Bombyx mori: one gene and its partner. The protein of the gene in region 2 interacts with the protein of the main gene of each other region in a pairwise test. Links are inferred from orthologs where the notes say so. Each region holds a gene or a part of one and is shown on either strand. Other genes may lie near its edges.

Region 1 (3,047 bases), on a different chromosome or scaffold from region 2:
AGCTCCTAATATTTAATGAAAAGTATTTTATTTTATTATTTATTTTCACTATATATATTTTACTGCTTGATTTCATTCAGATTTAATTGTAATAAATAATGGCTTGTGTGTTTTAATGACGTTTATATTTAAATTACCCTAGTATTTCCAAACTTTTGAGTGGTAGTGTATATAATGCAAACGCACTGTAATTATACTCAGAGTTTAGAGTAACAGCTTTCTTTTCATGTACTAATTTTAGTTATATTTTGTAGATTATAGCAGTCATGTGATTGGCTTCAAATCTATAATTCTTATCATTTATAATTTAATTTAAAAGCCATTACAGCCATAAAAGATGTAATTATACTATTACAGGTCGAAGTCTCAATTACTTACAATAGTGTCCTAGCTTTTAAACTAGTATGAAGTTATCAGTATTAACGTCCTTGAGGATACAACTAAGAAGTACCATCTTGTTTAAGGTACAAGTTGAAAAAGTGTCCGCCTGTATACAGCAGGTTATTGTTTGAAGCTCACTAAAATAGTATTAGTACAGGTAGTGGTAATTGAATTAATATAGCAGCTTTAAATAGAGTAAAGTGTGCAGTAAAGGCTATATTCCAATATACACTGCGAGGACTGTTCAGTCCTCTTACTGGGGCGAAATTCGTTCCGTTGACTGACAGTATACAATCACCGTATCATAGGGAAATATATAATGTCAGAAATTGTCACCATTTTTCTACTGTGAACACTGGTATTTTCTAAGTAAGGTGCCCTCAGTGCTTTGTACATGTTATCACGTTTACAGTACATAACCTCATTTCAATAATTCAGTTAAGTTATTATATAAATTGAAAAACAATATTTTCTTTATTGAAAGGATACTTTTAGTATACAACATATGCGTAAGAAAGTTTTCCCCAAATATTTATCAAGAATCCTGAAGCAGCCTCATACTGATTTTACCTATTAAGCAACTTAAAATTTAGTATACAAGGATTACATAAAAATCTTTCACAGTAAATTATATTGTAGAAATTATAAAGTAATGGTACATTTCTTAAAATATTTAATATGAAACAAATTTACATGCACCATAGCACTTCTTTACATAAAAAATAAAACAATCCTATGTAATGTTACTGCAATAAAATTAATGCTTAAATAAAAAATTTGTTACTAATATTTTTAGTACAGGCTCTAAATTGTGAACTACTGCACTTCAGCTTCATTTAATAGCATATTAGGAATTCCTTTAGAAATCGGAAATTGTCTTCCAGATTCTGGACAAGTCAAGTGTCCCTCTTCAACTTCCACCTCTAACAAGACTTTATGAGCTTTCTTCAAAAACTCTTCGTTTTCATCATACTTATTTTCTAAAGATCTTGGCAGACCATCACTGTGGCCGATGCTATCAGCGGCCACCCATAATACTTCCCAATCCAGCTTTGGTATTACACGACTAATAAATTCAGGATTAAAATCGACTTCTTTAACTTTAATGTCTGTCGCGTTAATTGCAAGAGGATAGCCAGTCACAACACCTTTCAAGCATTTCGAAGTGAGCATATTGTGGGTAATTAGTTTCATTATTATATTTGTATTATGCAACTTCAGTAGGAATTGAAGTCTTGACAATAATAGCTTTTCACGAGTAGAACCAAGCGATTAAGATTATTGGCACTTTTTTGTAGAATTTTCTTAAAACATATTTGTTATTATGTACTTTACGTGCATAATTAGATATTTGAGGTTATGTTTAGTTTTTGTTCAGTTGTGTAGTGAGTAGTGACCTGACAGCAGTAAGTAGTGGTAGTTTTATTTTTCCAAATGGAAAGGCAAAGGTATCACACCATACAGCCTAGTCTGTTATAGATTTTTTTTTTTTTATGAAATATATTATGAAATGAAATGAAGCTGATTAATTTAATGGCATGGCATGAAATGAATTGAAATGAGATGAGATGATAATTATGATATGGGTATTTTTATGAAAAATGATGATATGGAGTGAAATGAAGAATTTGAGACATTAATCAACTGGGATGAAATCAAATGAAATGAGATGAGATGAAATATAATCTCAGTAAAATGTTGGTCGTTTACTGAGATTTTTTCAATGGACGTTTTGGATGATCCCGATAAGTTACGTCCAGCGGCTTTATTTTATTTTCCCACATTTGTGCACTTTCAAAGATACTAAACAGTTAATAAACCACCGTTATTATGCATTTCAATCTGAAGAAACACTAAATAGACAAAATAAAACAAATCACACAACTTCACTCCTCGCGTTCCCGCGAAAAAGTTGTAACTTGTTCACCTTTTCAGTCGTAGCTCGAGGTGATACTCGCGCAGAGTATAATAAGAAAGTAATAAAATAAATAATGGATTAATAGTAATTTGCCCGAGTCTCTTCAATGTAATCTATTAGTCTATTATTGTTACTACTTTTCGAAAACTGGTACAAAATTTTTGCGCCTCGAGGCGATAAGCCAGGTTCACCGAACGTGTAGGCTCAGCATGGAGAACTTACTAGCACTAGCTTTAGTTAGAGCGGTGCTTCTCTGAATCTACCACTGGACCAGAATCGAGATTCTCTGAAAAGAACTGGCGAGAAACTCAGTGGGCTCTGTCTGACGGTCAATTTACTAGCTTGACCTTTCTTTGCATTCGGAAGGGATAAGCATTTATATTAAATTGTTGAAAAAAAATATATTTACATTTTTTAAATTAGAATGGATATAAGGTCTTGTAGCCGTTGGCCGTACATAAATATTTAAAAATATTAAATTGAGTATAATTCTGTGTAAAATTATTGTAAATATTGAGGAGAAATGTAATCATTCACATTTATAGACAAAAGCAGCAGGCTTGTAATACTCCATACCTGCTTATAAGTATTTTACAGTTTTTATTTTTTTGCGCCATGTCAAGCCATAACTCATTAAGAATGGATGCAGCATGCAGTGAACCAACAACATCGGTGGTCTCCACGTCGTCAGTACCACAAAAAACATCAAGTGACAAAGCAATAAATGAAAACAAAGTCGATTCACCTA
Region 2 (4,399 bases):
ACAATGTATAAAGAGGGGAATAGTGTACAATACAAAATCTATTAAAGCATGATTTTTAAACTAAGCTTTAAAAAAAAACTAATATGAAATGAAAAATACATATAAACATACATAAAACAATAACTTAAATACACTTTTTTAAAGTGACAGGAAATGTTTCTTCATTTGACTCTTAGAAACTTCTAGAGAGGAACTAGCACAAATAGGTTGAGGGAGAGAATTCCATAATCGCACTGCTTGTATTGTGAAATTGCATTATCATCATACTTGTTTAAGTGGTGGGCAAAATCTTGGGCATCTCTGGTGGGCATCTTTCATCTTTGTCAAAGTAAAGTCATACCTACCTTATATGAACTAATAACTTAGGATATGTGTACAATGGTCAGAATAATCCCACCTGTCTTTTCTGTAGATATTCACCAATGACTGGGGTCTAGAACTGTGAGTAGCTGAGTGTATCCTGAGTCACTGACGTGTATAAGTATTTTTGTTATGAAGAAAACAGGCATGCCAGTTTGAATTATAAGATGCCTGCCTGCCATACAACTGAGACTTCGGGCATGTGTTTTGGGTCAGGTGAAATAAGATAAGCATGTGTGTCTAAATTTTATTGAAGACAAATTGTTTTTCACTACAGTGACCCGCATCTTTTTTCAACCTCTAGAAGTTAAAAATGGACTACATAATATGAATGAAATGTTTATTAAAATCTGTCAACTGTTTAGGTAATTATGATAATTTTCTATTGTAACTTTTACTAACCTGTAGATCTCATTGACTCTCCTTCCCAGTCTTCGCGGCCTTTGGATATAATTTCCCAAACGTGACTGACAACTTTAGTGAATTGAGCAATGTGTTTCTGGAATATAAAACTATTATAATCCATACATCATCCATCTATATAATTGTAGGTAACAACTACACAACATTACATGAGAAAGTGAGCTTGTTATAATTGCATGTCTTAAGTACTCAACTTGATTATCATGCTAATTTTGCAGACAAATCTTGATTATATAAAAGAACTTATTATACATAGTTTAATAGAATTCAATGATGATATGATTGCAATGATACTGAATGATGACCATGACCACCCTGACAAGTGATACAACAAAAAAAAGAAAGAATTGATACATACTTCAACCAAATATCTCAAAGCAAGAGGTTGATTTAACTCTGTGATATCTATGGGTCCCAGCCACTATATCTCAAGTGAGCTGTGGGTTTATTCACTCAACAGTGCATTACATGTTTTAACCCCAAATATATCTATTTTTTTACCGTTTACAATGAAAACTAATTTAGATTGCGAAGTCTACAAAGAATGTCATAAAAAATTAGCCCAAATAGTTATAATGGATATTTTTCCTTGTGGTACATTAAACCTTATGCTTCTTTAAATGTTTCTGATATTTAAAATTAAATGTTAATTATTGTCTATACCTGTGCTGTATCATAGCTTAAAGTACTAGCTTTATGATTAAATTGCTGGAGACGCTGTTCAGCCTGGGGTTCAGGTTTGGTACGAAGTAAATCTGGAACTAAATCATGAGTGCAAGCTGGAACTCTGCCTTCTGTCAAATGAGCCAGTGTTTCATCACGTTCGCAACTTAATTGAAGTGGTAAAACAATTCTAGACCGCAATGAAGCTGCTTGTTCGGCTTGGAGAATTTTACTGAGGCCAGTCAGCTGAAAATAAAGAGTTAATAAAATTTAACTAAATAACACATGATCTTTAAAGTGAAAAGCTTATGTACAAATGCACTTAAATCTGAAAACAAGTCTCAAAATGGGATAATACCTAATAAATATCAGTGACCACGCTAACCAGGTTACATCAAGTGAGTTTTGAACTCGTCAGTTTTTGTTTCACTGTTTTTTCAATAATAAATTAATTATCTTTCCTACTTCAAGTTGAAATCCATCTCTGTAGACTTGTTGACTATTACACACACTATTTATGCTATGAATTTCAATATACAATTGGACTTACGTGACCAGATAAAATCGCGTAATTATCTAGAAAAGTTGGCCAATTTATTGTCTCGTATTCCGTTTCTAGTTTATTTATCAATGCTTGTATTGCAGTTTTTAAATCATTTACTCTATTTAAAATCGCAACTATTGTAGCTTCTAGTTGCTTTTCTTCTCGCTGCTGCATATTCATTGTTGTAAATGGTAGGTACACAATTGTAACTTTTTAATTCTCTTTGTTAGATTTTAATAAGGTTTAGGTACCGTACCTTACCTAGCTATTAAATAACCGTAAGGGACTAAGGGTACATAAGTAATATATCTCAAAATGGTACCATACGGTACCTACCGTACCGTAAAATGGGGCGATTAGGGACAAATTCCAACTTTATGAGCAATTTTAAGGTAGTTGTTGATGTATATAATGCTAAATCAGGATCAAAATGATTGAGTCTTGGGGGCATCTTTGTTGTCTAATTTAAAATTATGCAACTAGCATTCCAGTTTAAGCAAAAAATGCAAAAATAGGTGTAATCCCTATTTACCCGAAAATTGCGGTTAATTGGGACGAAACGAGAAATTTGCTAGGGTTGGCACTACTTTTATTTTTATATATAGTTTTAATTTATTTATTTATTTAGTTGCACCAACAAAGTGATCATCAATAAAAAAAATTGAAAAACTGACAAAAGTACATGGCAGACATCACCTCAATTATAGGTGCAATCGACAGTGCTGATATTTCTATCTGGATTAAGAGATTAGGTGTGTCGGTTATTCCATGGATTAATCAGATGAATACCCCCACTCTGAACAAATATTAAATATGTAGCAAACCGACCGGTACGTCACTCTCGCGGCCGTATGCCCGCTCGCTATACATAGTTAGTATCTATGTCAATCTTGTAACAGTGTATAATCTATGTTCCGGGCGCTTCCGTTTTGAGTGTGAATAGCGTGCGCCCGCGTCTAAATGTAATTATTGTTTAAAAATTGAAAATTGTTTGTTATAAAGGAAGATTAAAATTCGAAATTCGATATTGGTGACTAACCCATAGTTTTAAATACCCCTGAGATCTACCCCTCACTATATCTGGCTGCCCAACGTTTCCTAATTTTTTTCTTGCTTGGACTAACAAAATGGCGCGCACGCTTTTGTGAAAAATTTGCTAACTATTGTATGCTGTTGGTGCTTAATTGTAAAGAATGCCTTTAACTAGAAGTCAAGATCGCCAGCAACGTCGCGAAGACGACGTTATTCCTGCTGCAGATGCAAATGCCAACGAAAATCACGAGGAGCATGATAGCCCCCATGATCGCCCCCACGCCGAATCACGTAGCAACAATTCTACGTTCAACTTGGATGATGTTTCAGCGTTGATGGCCTCGCTGCAACGTTCGCAGGCCGAAACATTTAAGAACATTATGTCGTACGTGATGGAACAAAGATCGTCGACTCCGGCACCTCCGCCGATGCCCCCAGTGAACGTAGATGGTACCTTGGCGCGTTGCAGAGCTTCTTTCAGCGGTGCACCTGGTGAATCTGTTGAGGCCTTTATAGATGCAATTGAAAGTTATACAGAATGCGTTCAAGTATCTGACGCTAACATCATACGAGGCCTAGCCATGCTTTTGTCTGCTGACGCAGCTACGTGGTGGCTAGGATTAAAGCATCACATCTCCACTTGGAACGAAGCCAAAGAAAATTTAATATATGCATATGGCACCCGCCTTCCACCACATAGAATATATTTGGAAATATTTGTTTCCCCGCAGGATAAAGAAAACACAGACAAGTTTGTTGCTCGTATTCGTGCGCTTATGGCAAAGCTACCGCGGGATGATATTGCTGAAAAAGTACAACTTGATATGATATACGGGTTGCTTCATAATAGAATACGCACAAGATTGCGCCGTGAAGAAATCACATCTTTCAATTCATTATTAAACCATGCTCGGAATATAGAAGATTCGATAGAGGAGACTCAATCGAGACCAGTGTCGTCCACTAGTGGTGTGCGTTCGATCCGTGCCCAGCCGGCCCAGGCTGCGAGTCGGCCTGAACCGTGCGCCGCTCGTGCGAGTGCCCCGGCGCCGCGCGCGCGCTTTCCAAACTCCGCCGCGGCCGTCGTGCCCGCCACCGCTGTGCCTGTCGCTGTCGCCCAGCCTACCGTTGCCACGCCTGCCGCTGCTGTGCCAGGTTCTGCAGAGCAATTCGTGACCACGAAGAAACAGCGTCCAGTGTGCTCCTACTGCAAACGGTTTGGACATGCACGGGAACAGTGCCGTAAGTTAAACAACCGAGGTGAGCAAAGTCAATCTAACTTTTCCGAGGGTGTGCAAAATGACAATAATGCGTTTTATAGTGTTCAGTGTAATGTTAATAATACTAACACAATTAGTTCTAATTTACCTGTTCAGA

What was found.
Region 1: the proteins of mediator of RNA polymerase II transcription subunit 8 (region 2) and multifunctional methyltransferase subunit TRM112-like protein interact in binary tests that used the Drosophila melanogaster proteins (3 or more experiments, as listed by UniProt). The link is inferred for Bombyx mori from reciprocal best matches to the Drosophila melanogaster genes MED8 and Trmt112.

What each region holds. Positions count from the first base shown.
Region 1 is NC_085117.1:12,729,119-12,732,165, forward strand, and holds multifunctional methyltransferase subunit TRM112-like protein, read right to left. Parts: upstream 1,762-3,047; 5' UTR 1,576-1,761; coding exon 1,198-1,575; 3' UTR 833-1,197; downstream 1-832. Other genes in the region: DIS3-like exonuclease 2, read left to right, coding at 2,915-3,047.
Region 2 is NC_085118.1:10,646,186-10,650,584, forward strand, and holds the start of mediator of RNA polymerase II transcription subunit 8, read right to left. Parts: upstream 2,872-4,399; 5' UTR 2,171-2,871; coding exon 1,997-2,170; intron 1,693-1,996; coding exon 1,447-1,692; intron 860-1,446; coding exon 763-859; intron 1-762. Other genes in the region: uncharacterized protein LOC134199859, read left to right, coding at 3,184-4,399. UniProt on the Drosophila melanogaster protein: Component of the Mediator complex, a coactivator involved in the regulated transcription of nearly all RNA polymerase II-dependent genes.